2 linked regions of the Lytechinus pictus genome follow. The protein of the gene in region 1 binds, or shares a complex with, the protein of each later gene. Links are inferred from orthologs where the notes say so. Each region holds a gene or a part of one and is shown in the gene's direction. Other genes may lie near its edges.

The links.
Region 2: complex I assembly factor ACAD9, mitochondrial-like (region 1) and complex I intermediate-associated protein 30, mitochondrial-like share a complex: the UniProt entries of both Homo sapiens proteins name them as parts of the mitochondrial complex. The link is inferred for Lytechinus pictus from reciprocal best matches to the Homo sapiens genes ACAD9 and NDUFAF1.

The regions. Positions count from the first base shown.
Region 1 is NC_087247.1:7,772,184-7,780,201, reverse strand, and holds the start of complex I assembly factor ACAD9, mitochondrial-like, read left to right. Parts: upstream 1-4,704; 5' UTR 4,705-4,792; coding exon 4,793-5,119; intron 5,120-6,163; coding exon 6,164-6,257; intron 6,258-7,137; coding exon 7,138-7,239; intron 7,240-7,894; coding exon 7,895-8,001; intron 8,002-8,018. Other genes in the region: protein FAM50A-like, read right to left, coding at 263-405, 1,234-1,321, 1,929-2,016, 4,338-4,448. UniProt on the Homo sapiens protein: As part of the MCIA complex, primarily participates in the assembly of the mitochondrial complex I and therefore plays a role in oxidative phosphorylation.
Region 2 is NC_087251.1:31,762,250-31,770,859, reverse strand, and holds the start of complex I intermediate-associated protein 30, mitochondrial-like, read left to right. Parts: upstream 1-5,471; 5' UTR 5,472-5,793; intron 5,794-8,610. Other genes in the region: probable RNA-binding protein EIF1AD, read right to left, coding at 956-1,042. UniProt on the Homo sapiens protein: As part of the MCIA complex, involved in the assembly of the mitochondrial complex I.

The DNA.
Region 1 (8,018 bases):
ATGTGCTTATCTTCGTAGGCAATATCTAATTATGATCATTTTTCAGCGTAAATTTCATGTTTCATAAGAACAAGTAAATTATGTACCAGATCCAGATGTACAATGATATGGTCACATTTCACCTTGATTTTAAAGACTTTCCCAAGATATCATCGTTTGCTGCAACTACATTAATTTAGATTTCAGTTAATTGGGTTAAAATGTTCTATGAAGTTTAACCCACAATATTCACACACACACACACACATGATGAAAATCTCACCTAACTCATCATCTGCTTTATCTTCTTCTTCCTCCTCTTTATCATCACAAACTCCATCTTCTCCTTCTTCATCATCTTCATCCATATTGAATGACAGCGTTCCAGCATTCTTCAGTTTCTTCTTCCTCTTTCGTTCCTTTGCTCTGTACAAACACATGAAACAATGGATACAGAACATGCCTGTCATTAATGTTCGGCTTATTGGTATTCATTCTAGAAATACAATTTCCTCTTCCTGGAAATTCTCCGAGAACATTATCGAGGGTCAAATGAGACAGTCTATATTTCAGTTATTCTCAGTGTATATAGAAATATTTGAAGCAATCTCATTTAAAACATCCCTGTCTTTCAATTCAATTCTATTGAATGGTCAGTAATAAGGGATGGGTTGGAAGGGGGGAGGGGGATCAATGAATCAGCTATTCAAGTGAAAGAGATGTTGCATGCATGATACTAGTCAATGTAGTAGACTGATTTGTATTGCAAAATGTACTTGAATTAAAAAATTACTCTACATTTTGACTCTGTGCACTTTAGGATGATTTCTTGGTAAAGGAAATGTCAAATTTTTTCAAGTATCATTTTTCGGTTTTGTCTCAGCCCTGGGGGGTATTTCATTAAATAAATAGTGATTTTCACTGGCAACTGTTATAAGCTTCTGAAATCCTTGCATCTGATTGGCTCGGAACAAATAAGTTGGTGAAAATCACTAACAAGATGCTCCATGAAACACTCCCTTAATTTTGCCATACGTTTTTGTTTTAACAACTTTTTACTTATTAAACGCATTCTATGAGTTATTTCTGTGATGTGAAGCAATGGAAAAAGGAAGAAGTTTACATTTTTTTAATGACGATATAGGGCACACAAAGTTTAAGAAAATAAAACTGTACAATTTGGATCTCACACGGTTATGCCAACGTTTCACCAAATAGATTACGGTGGAGATTGGAGTGTATGAATTGACTTACAGAGCTTTAGATGATTGTGCAAGTTCCTTTTCTCTCTCCTTCACCAAGTCCTCTCTCTTTGCTCTCATCTGATCGAAGGTGACCAGACCTAAAAAGAAAGAAAGAAAAAGAGGAGTTGTGACAAACAAACAAATCTCTAAATGCAAAGTACAAACTGATTTAAAGGCCAAGCCCAAATACAAAAATATGCTGACTTGAAAAGAGAAAAATCAACCAAGCATGAACCTGAAAATGTCTTCAAATATTCAATGTTCAATAGGAAAGTTTGACATTTTACTTTTGTTTGAATTCACAAAACATTTATATACACATCCTGGTGAGAATGCAATTGAGGAAGCTGAAGACATCACCCCACTTTACTTGTGTATTTCATTATATGATACGTGAAATATCTTCATTTTTTTGGTTTATTATAATGTGAAAAAAAGTTTGATACTTCCCTAAAATGTTAGGTCGCCATTGTTGTGATCTATTGTGAGTCGATGAAGTCCTTTCTCAATGTTAAATTCACAATTCAAAGAAACAATCTGCACCATTGGAAAAGCTTTGACATTGCAGTCAATGGGGATTTTTAGGGCTTAAAAAAAAAAAAAAAATTTGTGGGCTCTTTGGAGCATTTCAAAATGGATACCACACAAAGCCCCATGTACCCCCCCCCTCTTTGATTCAATAATGCAGATGATGAAATACTGTACCAATGGTGCTGCTCTTGAGTTGCTGTTCCACTGCATCATAATGAGCCGAAAATTTTGCGCTGATGGTAGACACTCGACTGACACTGTCCTGATAACAAAAGGAAACAAAATCATAGAAAAAACAAACTTTCAGGAATGCTTTTTTTCAAGAGCAAACAGTATCATTATGTCATGGACCATCATTAGATAAAAGTTATGAATTATAGGATATTATTGGCCATGTGTCTCATGAGGTCGCCTACTTTCGTGTTACATGGTGATTTTCACTAAGTATACACCCTATGATAGTAAAACTATATATTTTCTGAAAGGAAATCGCTCAATGAACCCAAATATTCACTCAGAAACAGCAATATGTGTAAGGCATTAGTGTTATATTATGTTGAATGGAAAATTTTTAATATTTTTCAATCTCATATTTGTGATTATAATAAAATACATGGTCCCCCGATGACCAAAATAATGACATTTCTGTACAGTACAGACCTTTTTAACAATGTGTAATTTTATTGGGTTTATGGTTATGAAATTACTTCAAAATCAACGAGAACTTATGCAATCTTTTTCCCTAAAAATAATAAATGTATATTGTGCATGCTATTTCTGCCTGCATTGCAATTACATTGTGGTTAAATCTACTTGTTCATCTGATTTATTAAAGGTATAAAACAATTTAAAAGAAATTCTGATAATGATATCATTAGACCAAATAATACTCCTAAGATTCTTCACATATTGTAAGTCTGAACAAAGCCAAGTATTCACTTATTACTTTCATCCTACAGAATAGTCACTTGTTTTCTGTATCTTACAAAAGGTACATTGAAATTAAGAATTACTTAATATAACTAAGAATAACTAATAAATGAAGAAAATGTTTCAATATGGAAGGATTGTTGTGAAACTTGAAGAATTTCAACAATTTTCTATTTCTTTTTCAATGTTTTTTGGTATTTGAATGATAATGACATTGCCAAAACTATTTTTCAATCAATTAACAGTAAAGAAGATTGTTGTAGTTTCAATATGATACCAAATTTTTAGTTGGAAGTCAAGTTTTCACAAAAATATTAACGTTCTACCCAAAATAGCACAAAGTATTGAGAATCAATCCCCATTGACTTCCTACAGGTGGCATCGCTGCCCGCACCATCCCCGGTGCTCCGTCTTTAAAGATGTGTTCTACTTATCCTAGAGCAATGAAACTTTCTAAATCATTAGCCAATGAATTCAGCTTGAAAATGATACCAAACTTGTTGGCATAGCTTCTTTGATTTTGAAAATACTTAGGAATAACTCAACACAAATTAACCAAAATATGTAACACCACCCATTTTTGGTCGGCGACCTCATGACACATGGCCTATTTTTTCTCTACCCCTCCAAGGCTCCATCCACCATCTTCACACTCACAGCAACTGTTTATTTTTCCTGTACTATGATGAGGCTTATTTCCACTGTGTTTGCTTATTCTCATTTTCATGCTGGCTTTCCACTCAAACGCAGAGAAAATTAATAAGAAAAATACAATACAAATTATCAATTTGATTACATATGTACAAACAAATGAGACGCGTCTTGGACAGTTATCTCTCGTAAGCTAGCAAATATTCTCCAAGTTGATAACGCCATCCATCCGCACCTCCACAGAGTATACTTTACAATCCAATGTCATAATCGATTATGTTTATGAGAGCATGGATCCACAAAAGCAGCACTCCAGCAGCTAGCACTGTAGCAGGCGCAGCTCAGCCTCAGGCAGCACTAAGTAAGCAGCTAGCGGTAACTTAGACAGCTGGCAGCCGTCTGTTTCGAGGAGTTTTTTAACATTTTTTTTTTTTTAATTTCTCCTCATACACAGACGGCTCGCTAGCGTGCAGCCACCATTAGGGGACTTGCAATGCAAAATCCCCCCGTCGGGGCTCTTCAATTTTTGTCTTTAATGAGTAAAAATTTTGAAAATTCACGCGACCAAAATGCAAATTAATATTCCCTCTTGAGTCTTGGCATCAATTGCCAAAAAACCGAGAAAAATCAAGTTAAAAGGAACAAAAACAGTGACTTACCTCGGCTGTCGCGCAAATTCACTTCCCCGTTTTATCCGATCTTAAGTACATAAACATATGGCCATTGAGTCCCCTGTACAGATCGCGCTAGAACTTCGGTCTCTGTATTTGGTGAGTGAAGCCAACGGAGTTCAGCTGAACAACCAACATAACAGAGACCGAAGCTTTTGGTCTAGCGGTAACTCAGCTTAGCACACGCCGAGACTCCCCGCGCCTCTCAGCAGCAAACGGCTGACTCACAAAGTTCTCGGTGCACTGCACCATTGATTGGCAGTCGTCTACTCCCCGAATAATGTCAGTTAATTCACCAATATTACCGAAAAAAATATTTTTCAGATCTTACCTGCTCTATGCGTTGTTTTAAACGTTCTAGCTCTTCTCTCTGTTTCTCCCGTTTCATCAAAAGTTGACGAACTCTTCCAGCCTCGCTGGCTGCTCCCTTGTACTCGGCCATTTTTTCCAGCTTAGGACGATACCACTATTTTGGAGGCCGAGGCTCCATTGAAAAGTTCACATCGTTAAAAGTGTGATAAACTTATAGAATGTATCAATATAAATTGCATTCAATATCGAGACAATATTAATTTATTATATTATTCAATCATTCTTTTTTCATCCATAATGAGTCAAAATGCTAAATATCTCCATCAGCAACCACAAAGATATTCCCATCAATTAAGACCGCCCCTTACCATAAGTCTAATCTCCCACTTACATAATACGTTCTTTGCTGGCATATTTCAGGGAAAGTCCCCAAGTAAAAATCTTAAAACTTGTGGAGAATTATTGAATGCAGTCATGTTTTGCCGCAATTTTCGCAATGTTCAAAATATTCATTCTCACTTAATATCAAGGTCTGTTAATGGGACCGAACTCATACCAAACAGATCTGTGAATTGCTTTCATAAATGGACAGATCCTGCCACAGGAACAATTCACATTGGAAGACACACTGCCGGCACTTCACATCAAAACTCTTCCCCGGCAGCACGGGGGGTTGCCACATCGGCCTCCCGCTTCCAAGATTCTGTGAGTCCGAGCTCTGCAGCGGCGTCAAGCGTCTCTCGAGTCACAGCTTCTCCAGTCGGATTCGCCAAAAATCTTTGTCTTGGCAAATTTAACAAGGTACCGTATCATATGTTTACCCCCAAAATATGTACCGTCATGACCGTACTCCCGGAGTCCTATTTTAATTTTTAGTTTTAAACATATAATCTAGATCTAATTTAGACTGTGACTGTAGCTATAAACATGTTAAACCAGCAAAATTTACTCTACGACTATGTTTAGCAACAGCTAAAATCAACCTTTTTACTGGAGGAGTTTTTATTTTTTGAATTTTCTAAAACTTTTTTAAATTTCTCCTCCAGTGGAACAAGACGTAGTCCAGTGCAGTGGTCATTTGTTTAGCGTTTTTGATTTAGAATAAAAATCTATACCCAAGACTAAGACTAAGTTATATCTCGGTCACATTTGCTCTATGCCTGGCGGCCGTACGGCGAGTTGAAAACAGCCGTTTTAACATTTTGTAACAGCTACATATGAATAAAGACGGATAAAACGGCTATTTTTGACTCGCCGTCAAGCAAATGTAGCCGAGGTAGCAGACATATCACGAACCAATCTTGTCCAATTTTTCTGCGCAACCTGATTTTTACATTAAAATTTCAAACTCATCTTGCTCATTAATGCGTGAAGTGTTTGTCTCGTATTAGGTATCAAAATAAACAGGAATATTTAATTATATGATCCTGTATAAAGTGAAATATCATAATTCTTTTGCCTTTGAAGAATAAAGACATGGGAATCCTGGTTTCCTTTTTTGTGGGATGCACTTTATTAATTACTACAAACCAAGCAGGTCTTTGCGTTCATCCACTTCTGGCTTCCTTGTTATTCCAAAAGTTTCAAAAACCTGGGGGGAAAGATCATTTGCTTTTGCATGCCCCCTTTGTGGAACAGCCTTCCTGAAGACATTAAAAAATGTACCTCTGTCGAAACTTTCAAAAATCTAAAAACTTTTTTATTTAACTCTTAGCTCTTTATGCGCCTTGAGCACTCTACAGAGTGGAGTTGGCACTTTATAATTCACATTATTATCATTTTACATTATTATTAAATTATCCTGTCGTATGATTAACTTTGCGTTTCATTACATATTACTTTTAGGATGATGCATTCCCTTTCCCTGAAATCACAGTGGAGCAGTTTGAACATCTCAACCAAATGTGTGATCCTATTGAGAAATATTTCAATGAAGAAGGTAGGATAGTTATTTTAAAATGTTTCATACCCATGTATATGTTCTATCTTTTGTATAGAGAGCTTACATGTAGTTTAATATTTTGAATAAAATGCTTATAATGATATGTATCATATGTATATGTTAATGGGTTTTTAACTGGTCCTATGGGACCTTAACCCTGTCACACCATACTTTGTTCTGTTCATTTACTTCACTATAATAATGAGGTGTCTAGGGACCATAATCTAGTCAACCAGTGTAAATTCAAGGTTACTGAAAATGTTTTAATATCATTTTCTTACTTAAAAATGTTAGAAAGTAAAACCAGATGAAGATTTCCTTTTTTGAATCAGTATAAAGAAGTATAGAATTATTTCATACATTCATCTTTGCCACATTTCTTTTATTTGTCAAAATAAGCAAGGTGGTTGCTATTCTTTGAGATACCAAGGATAGCAGTGAAGACAAAAATCATAGGGAAATCACATTTGTATCCTGTCATTTAAAAGAAATAGCAACATTGTCCACTGTCAGATTTGAAAGCTCGCTTACATTTCTTGATTGAGGGGATACAAGAAAAAATAAAATATAATGGAAATATGTCCTTATTTAAAGAGATTTTAATGTTTTGATATAATTTGTTCATGTTGCTACCTCAAGCATGCTTCCAGCCACATGTATTATTTAGGGCTGTGAAGGTCACCTGACTATATAAGTAATACAAGAATGAAGACCTTGATGCACACATTCACAAAGAATATTGGAAAGTCTGATACAGCTAGTACAAATTTCAGTCTTAAATAATTTTCAAAGCTCATATTGAAAATAACTCTTAGGCCTATCTTTTATGCTGAACCCAGTTAGAGAGTCTGAATTTTCTTTTTTTTACCTTCTACAGTGGACTCCAAAACAATTGATGTAAATGCCAAAATCGATGAGAAAACATTGCAAGGTTTAAAAGATCTTGGTCTCTTTGGTCAACAGGTTCCTGAAGATTATGGTAATAAGAATTTTGTGTGTGTATTTTTTTTTACTTTGTATATGCATAGGATAAGTATTTCAGAGATCACTTTGTTGCTTGAATAAATTGAAGCTCTTTTTTTTTAATGAATTGTGTAATATTCAAAGAGTTGTACTTGAGGAATTATTGCTATTTTTGCATGTTACCTGTAATATATCAAAGTTCTATTCTGGTAGTTGGCAAAATAAATATTGTATGTAGGCTACATATATTCTACAAAGGTGAAGAATTATGTGTGTTTGTGAGTAGGTTGTATTAAAAAAATAATATGATATTCCTCCCTACTTCCCCTCTTCTTTCTCTGCCTATTCTTCAATGTTTGATATCTTTCTTTCTATCTTATATACATATTTCTGTGGTTAATAATTATTATTTTCAAATTCACATTGCTTTTGTTATCATAATTTTCCTGAGTAAGTTATATCTGAAAATTCCATTTTCTTTGTGATATTTTTTTTTGTTCCCTTTTTTTATATCCATGCATTTTGTTATGTTTTTATGTTGTACAGGGCCTCAAGTAAAACAGTATATCACTTCTGATTGGGGCTACCCTGTTTAAACTATATGTAAGAAATGAATAAACAGTACGGGGGGTAATTTTTTTTTCATTTGATTTGTATTATTACTTGCACAGGTGGACTTGGTTTATCAAACACAGAGTTTGCTCGTTTAGCTGAAATAACTGCCCAAGATGGGTCCATAGCTGTCACGTTAGCCGCACATCAATCCATAGGCTTCAAGGTTGGTAATGAGACAAA
Region 2 (8,610 bases), on another chromosome or scaffold:
AATTCAACCACTTCCAAAATGCATCACTTTTTCCAACTTGAGATCAACTGTGACCTGCCTGCCACCCCAACACCAACAAAAAATCACCCCTGATGAATTTTTAGATTATTATTGAGCTTGAAAAAGCACATTCTAAGCTTTAAAGATAAATACCAGTTGTGGTAGCTTTTTCAAAACAAGTTCGAACAAAATCAATAGAAATTACCACCCAAGTGTTTGTATATGTATAAATAAAAAAATATGTGCCTCTGGAAGATAATGTGTTAATTGCTGAGAAATGAGCAAAATAAGCATGGAATTCCATCAAATGCTGGGTATTTTTCGAAGCAATATTAATACACTCTCCCACATAGCTTTTCTGTGTTAGTAATCATCAGAATTATCGATTTTGAGCCATTGATTTCATGATTTTTACAAAGATAAGTTTACATAAAGTAGATCTACCTGGGTCCTGTTTCATTACGATTTGTTGCAACAAATGCAGAGTTTCTATAACAAATTTACCATCAGCCAATCAGATTAAAGGATTTCAGTAGCTTTTAACTGTTCTTGTAAATTTGTTATTGTAACAAGTTTTATGAAACAGATCCCAGATCTAGATTTAATTGATAATATCTTGACAATTAACCTTGATTAAAAGACTTTCTCATGAAATAATTGTTTGCTGCAACTATTGCCAATTGGTAGGCCCTACTGTCTTTTACCTTTAACTTTTAACTAAGATGAAAATTGATCAATAACCAAAATAAATATTTGATTGAATGTAACACTGAGTGCTCCAAAGAATAAGGAGAAAACAAGGTTTGACTTTGAAGTTTGGTGTTTACTCAAGCATGAGATGTGCTCACTGACTGAGCCATTTCATTAAAAGTTTCATGGCCAAGCGAAACTTCCAAGACCAACATGACCAAGTCTAGGCCAAGTGAAAGTTTAAGACTCTACTTTTACTACTAACCTTCAAAATTTGTTGATTTTCCTCTGGCAAAATATAATCTTCCAGAACCTCTCTTGTTACATGTTTGCGTTTGGTAGCTTTTGACATTGTGTGGATGTGATCTGGGATTGTTTTAATTTACAAATGACTCAATGACAAATTATTATTGCTGACTAGGCCTAGTGCCTTGATCCTTGATGGAGTAGATTTTAAGCCTGTACTGTATGGTACACCCAATTAGATCCTGCGTCTTTTCTGAAGGGTCTACACTACACAGCCAAGGGCCAAGGACAGCAAAGCGAATTAGCACCCCAAAAAGATGTGGCTGAGTTCAAACTTCAATGCACACAACCTGGCTGGACGGACGGATAGGCAGCTCCTCCCAGTTTATTGGCTATTGCACACTCCGATCGACTGCGACTTGCGAGTGATGTCGTAAGACGTGAAGCCTAGGCTTATTTATTAAACAGTTCGGCGAATTCTATTTAGAGTTGGAATAAACAATCCTCTCGAAGGACTTTCCGCCGACTGTGATTCTTTAAGCCGCCATGATCGCGTCAGTATGCCAATATTAAGAAAACTGACAAAGAAAATATGAAAAATAAGTTGAGACTTTGGAGAGAGTACGACGATTTGACTTTGCTCCTGCCATTTCCATTTCTACAATGAGTGTAACTCGTCGTCCATCAGAAATATCGTATCAGGCATTCGTCCCACCTTTTGCGACACGGTAAAAGCTTGCATTGTCAACGCGGGGCAACGCGATCCTTTCTTTTATGAACAAGATCCGTATATAGGGGATGGCGGGGTAAGCCCATAGAGATGTATACTCTCTATGGGTAAGCCACCTTTTGCTTTTTGCATGTTGGAATTGATACTATTTATAATCTTGTAGAAATAAGTACCTTGCCTTAAAATTCAATTCTTCTGAAATATCTTTCACCTATATATAACTTTCTATCCCCACACTGAAAGTCATTGTCTGATGTGATGGCTCAACTTGCCCCATCTGTGGGGTAAGTTGAGCCACAAACACTATATGTGTGGGGGAAGAACCAGCATGTCTAATTTTTTTATTCAAAGTCTTTTCACTTGCTAATTCTCTATAAATAACAACATCCTAAAAGGAATAGAACAGTCATGTAAATTTGCTCCTTTCTGTCTGCATATCGAAGGCTTTTTAAGGTTTTTTTGTTTTTTATATAGGCCTACATTATAAGAATTACCATGTCTCAACTTGCCCCATGTCGGCTGGCACAACTTACCCCAGTCCGAACATGATGCGATAATTTCGCTTCCACACATTTCTTATGCATCCATCATAATTATAAAAGACTATGACAAGAATGAAGCTCCATACCTGGGCTAACAATGTTGTTCTTTATAGTCTTTGGTCTTTATTTTATTTAAAGACGTGTGTGCATGTGTGTAAAAAGCACTTATCTATTTCGCACCCTTTTTTACTTTTTTGGCTGAAATTTGTATTTTTCCCTCAAAAAAAGTACTTTTTGTTTCAAAGTTGAAAACAACTTGTGGTGGGGTTAGGGGTTATGCAATGGGTCATCAATACAATGACAACACCACAGTGTCTGACTCATTCATTATTGGCCTGGGGGTAGTGGTTCAACTTGCCCCTATAATTTATGCTCAACTTACCCCGCCTTCCCCTATATACTCATGGAGGTAATGCATGTAGGCCTAGCTATACATCTTTTGAGAACAAGTGTTTTGACATAATAGCAACTAACAAGGCATATTATTCCTTGTCTTCTTTAGTGGTAACAGGCGGCGAGGGGCACGGGGGCGGCCTCGATCTGCCCCCCTCAGCCCTGCATGGCTCCGGGAAAAAAACCGGGGAGAATGGGAAAACTTTGAAAGAAACGAAAGAAAGAAAGGAAATGGAGGAAAAGGGGAAAGGGAGGGGAAAAAGAAACGGAAAGGGAAAAGAGTCTATAAAGAGAGGAAAGGTTTTCAGCGGAAAGAGGAAAACAGAGACAAGATTATGAGAAAGAACTTACTAATGAATGAGAAAGGGGAAATATATAGAAAGGTGGCAAAATGGAACGGGAACGAGTATGACAGGACTCAAGAGGAAAGAAAAGGGACAAACAGAAACGGGAAATGAGGTAGTGTAATGAACTCGTTCGTGACGTTTTAGAAATATCCCCACATTTCACATGTTGTGCCCCTCAAATGTTTGGTTTATTACTCCACTGTATTGAAGTGATGCGTTTTGTAAAACATATATGATCAGATTGAAAAGTAAGGTTTCATGTAATGAAATCTCGAGAGGTTCTGGTTCCGCTCGGACCCCAGCAGCACTGGCATAAAAATGGAAGGCGTTGCTGGGGACTGGCCCCAAAAAGTTCTACGACCAAGAACAAAAGGAGAAATTAAAGAAATGGACAGGAAAGAGGAATAAGATCATGTCAAAATCTATCACTTGTAATGAAAAAGTAGAAGAAAACCTCGCTCGCTTCGCTCTCCCGGGACTTTTATTCAGAAACTTTTGCCACATGCACCATGCTGTAAGTGGTGGTACCAAGGGGGGGGGGTCAGGATCGTTGCCCTACTTGCTCCCGCGCCCGGCCCCCCGAATATTCCGAAACTGAAGAAATAATGTAAATGCTGTCATGAGCATCTCACTTAAGCTGTAAAGTGATCCACAACAGCTAGCACTATTCACCCTTCAAATTTTGTAAAATTTCCTCATATAGTCATGGTATAGTTCCCTGCAATATGAAATAAAACTTTAATTGAGGTCATTTTATAACATTCAAAATTTTGTTCGCGCTCGCAGTGACTTTTGATTTAGATAAATAAATGATCTGTTTAATAAGATAACATGGGGCTTAAAAATCCAGTGTTCGAGTCAATATGCACAATAATTTTTTTTTTCATGATTCGAGTTTTCATTATTTGTTTTAGCGAGATACACATCTTGCATAATAAATTTCATAATTGCAAAAAAGTATTAAAACGCGCTCGCATGCATTTTTGTTTAGATATATGGATACCCATCCTGTTCATAAGAAATGCTAACGTCCACTTATCATATCAGGATATTAACATTTTTCATCTCGCATATTTTATTTGGTGAAAATATCACAAAGTGTCACGCAAACAGGGATAGGTCCTTTTTTTAAGTGAGTGGGACCAAAAAAATTTAGCTTGTGCTTCGAGCTTGATTTTGCGATTTTTTTACTTATTTTATCTTTTTACTCATAACGCTACTCTCACATAGAGCCTCGCACCATAGTGCTCGCGTGTAATCATGAAAAATCCTGTTCACATCATGATATGACCGGGAGGAAATTTTTGGCTCTCCCCCCCCCCCCCCGCGCCGGCCGGCCCGCGGCCCGGCCGGCCGCCGATCGACCCTTAGCTGTTTCACCCATGCATGCTGCTTACGATAGACTATTTTCCATGTACTGAAATGAACAACGTCAAAAATTCTCAAGCTCCCTGCAGAAGTCTCATAGGCATGCACAGTTAAGCTCGGGGCGTAACAGGGGTCGGTTGCCGGGGAGGGGCAAGAGCCAAAAATATCCCGGTCATAATGTGAACAGGATTTTTCAGGACGTGCATATTATTATAACTGTTTTGTGAAATTAAGCAAAATTTTTAAAAGTCATAACTTTCTTATTTTATATCCGATTTTGATGAAATTTTCGGTGTTATGCTTGTTGGATTTTTCTCTTTTTATTCAAACAAATTTTTTGTGGGGTGGACTTGTCCTTTAAGTGCTTTTCTTTCTTTTCTCCTTTTCTTTTTTTGCTTGTTTGTTCTTGGTCGTAGAAATTTTTGGGACTCCCTTCCTCTCCATATAGATTCAGTCATTTACCTTGATGGCCGCTATTTTCAATCAAATCACGCGGGTATACAGGTTTTACGGAGGTTTTACGAAACAAATTTTCTATAACATCAAGAGCGAGTTTTTGCCCTATGAAAATGAAATTATGTAGGCCTCATTAAATTGACATAATTTATAAGGCAATGCTTGGACGGTACCTCTGCATGGAACCTCTCTAATAATCTTCTGTAATATTGTCCTGATTGCGATCGTTATTGCCATTTAGCAAGTTATCATACATTAATAAGCCATCTCATGCTTTAATTTATTATTAATCTTTGGTAGCCCAGACTGTGTCTTCATTTTTTTCTTCATTTTTAAAAATTCAGCTTGAGCATATTAAGACCTATACCACGTACCGGGGTCTATACTTACCTCATTGTTCTATTTCATTTTCCGTCACTTTTCTCACTCCTCAGTTTTCCCGCCATAAATTCCCGTTCCACGTGGCCATCTCTTGGTTCTCCTTTCTCTCCTATTTATTAGTATTTCGGGATTATTTTTTCTTATACCTAGATCTATACGCGTAGGCCCCCTATTCGTGTTTTTTTCCTTTTCCTTCCGTTTTACCTTTCTTCTCTTAATTTATCGGCTTTCTTTTTCCCCTCAATTCTTTCCCCTTTCTCCCCCCCCCCCCCCTCTTTCCTCTTTTTCTTCCTTTTCATTTTCTTTAATTCTGTCTTAGCTTTCCCCGGTTTTTTTTCCTGGTGAGCTCCGCCAGGGTGGGCAGACTGCCACTCCTGCCCCAACCCCGGCTGTTGCACCGCTAAGCTCCCCTAAAACTTTTGGTCTCGAACCTTGCCTGTGGCCGTACTCAGCTTGGCCGAAATGTCGCGGTGCATGCATATACCATAGAGATGTATTCTATGGCATATACTCACATACTAATATAATGGGTTCCCATATATATAATGCACGTGATGTACGTACGTGATGTATACCGGTACGTGTACCAAAGGCAAAGATGCTCTCCGAGCGGCCGGCCGACGTCCGACCTGGGTAAGTGGTAAGTTCAGAAACACTCTATGAGAAAGTCTGTAAAACCAAGGTTAATTGTTACTTTATAATCGTAGGTGGATCTAGATCTGGTACAGGTACATTAACTGAACTTTGTTAATACATGAAAGGCTGAAATCTAAGGAAGACTAGCTGAAAAGATCACGCTGCTCTGCACTGATGACTGATCACCAACACAGATAAGCACATGTGGGACAATGTACTATTGTTATTGCTCGGAAAGGGGGGGGGGGGGGGGGTCGGAATATTTCCCCTCAGACTCGAAGGGGTCCGGCGGAGGGATCATTTGGCATTTTCTTGATTTAATTCACTGCCGTTCATTTCAGGGTGACCAGAAAATGAAATATGGGACAAAAAGCACGATGCACGATCGGAGCAACTGATAAAAAAAAATCAACAAACACAATGTTTGATAAGAAAAGGAAAGGGAGGGTGAACGAAAGAATGAAGGAGAGAAAGAAAATAGGAAAGAAAAGAGATGGAATAGAGGAAAGAAATACAAAATGAAGGGGGAAATGAAAATGAAGGAAATTTTTTTTTTAAAATTAGAATGAAAGGTCGGATGAATAAAAGAAAAAAAGGTTTACTTTCTGCCATTCTTTGAAATGAATAAAGAAAGGAAGGGAAGATGAATGAATGCATGTGTGATATAATAAATAAATGAGAGAAAGGAAAAAAAAAGAAAGTAAGAAAAAAAAAGAAGAAAGAAAAAGGTTTCCTTCATTCTTTGAAAGAAAGAAAGATGGAAAAAACAGGAAAGGAAAGAATGAATAAGGGGAAAAGAGAAAATAAAGAATGAAAGAAAGCCGATGAAAGGGAGAGAGGAGAGTATGAAAAAAAAGAAAACTAATGGAAGGAGAGAAAGAACGAAAATGAAAAGGAGAGGAAGGGAGAAGGAAGCAAAGAAAAGTTCAAGGAAAGAATTAAAGAATGAAGGAAATAAAAAAAGGTATTTAAAAGAAGGAAAGTAAGAGAAAGAAAGAAAAATGAACAGAGAGAGAGAGAAAGGATCAGAAAAGAAAGCGAGGAAAGATTGGAAATAAAGATAGATGGAACAAAAAAAGGCAAGCAGGAAGGATAGAAGGATGAAGAAAGAAGGATAAAAAATAAAAATGAAACAAAGGAAAAAAGTTCAAACTTCAAGCAAGCAAAAATATCCAATCATCTTCATGATATTTGGGTTTTTAAAAATCTATTTTAAAAATTGTTAGAACACTAAAATGTTTTAGAAATGAATAAAATTTCAAAGTGAAACATTGTCAAACTTAAAAATTAGATGAAACATCGCAGCATCACACATCTCTCATCCCATGACAAGTTAGCACTGATCACAACAAGACTTAAAACGAAACCTGAAACAACTAGATCTAGTTATGAAAACTCAATATCTTGCTCCACCGATTACATCACCAAATCAGTAATCTGAGAATCCATAATATAAAAATTAAAATTGCCCGCCCATTTTGTGATTATTTTGGTGGAAAAACTGTTGATCATGTGAGATTGTTTGCACCATTGAGAATCTGCTCCGATCCTAGTAGCCTGCCACACACACAGACAGGAAGCCATTGCAAGCCGCAGAACTTGCAAAAGTTTACAGTAATTTTATTGTTGTCTCTCCTTTGTCATCTGTTGGTTATTTTCCCAGGTTATTTTTATGAAAATTCTTCACTTTTCTATGTATTAATTACATTTTGTTCAATATTCTGACATACGGGACAAATAGGCGTCCCGGGAAGGGTTTGTCGGGACGCCGGGACAAAGAAGCAAAATACGGTATGTCTGGTCACCCTGGTTCATTTCGTCAGTGGAGGTGACTTCTTTCCTCTCCCATTGACTTTGTACACAACCATGACAACAAGCGCACACAGGAGAAGAGAGGTGACTTATTTCAGGATAAGGCCGATCATTTTTATTTTGTGAGTGATTGTGTTTGTGAGCGATCATGTATGTATTTATAAATTATAGTATCTATAGCCTTTATAGGGAACTTTTTTGTTTTAATACTGTGCCTGTGCCCGGTGCCGGTGGCCAGGCAATTTTAAATTGCCTTGGATGTGCAAAGTTTTCTATCTGCTGTTGACATCAGGGTTGACTTGAGTTGAAGCCATTTTTTTTTTTGGCATTCGTCAGCTGGTGTTGATGTTTAGACTGATGAGGGCATGAAAAGAATGCTGAACCGAGCTGGATTCAGAAGAACGATATATCGATCGCGTTATAAAAATCTCATACAGAATGCAAAGTAAGGCCAACATAACTTCAAATATCTGAAAGACAAATTATTATTGTTCATAAAAATTACTGGGATGTTTCATCGTTCGCGAGCTTCAAATCACGAATACCAACACCAAACATGAAATTAAGATAGTCAACACCAGCTGTAATGCCTCTTATTATTCAGCAGGCGACATTCAACACCAGCGCTAAACACAAACTGCCGGGAATTTGTCATATTTTCCGAGGTCACTCCCAACACCAGCCTCATTTCAAGTATGGTGTTGTGGCTGGTGTTAGAATGAAGTGGGTCTTGTATCTGTTGGATCTTGAAACCTCAAAATATGAATTAGACATACATGTAGCCTCTACTGTAATTTTTCAAGAAAGATTAAAATTTGCTTCTGAAACTGCAGCCATGAAAAGTATTTGAGCCCCTGAAAGACGTGTTGTTTACAACTTTGTCTTGGCACTTTTTTTGCAGATGCAGCTATTGGCTGGTATGGATGAAGGCACATTGAAAACACATTTTAATGTGTAATACTTCTCATCTATTGTTTAGGGCACACACATTCATATGATCATCTAGCAA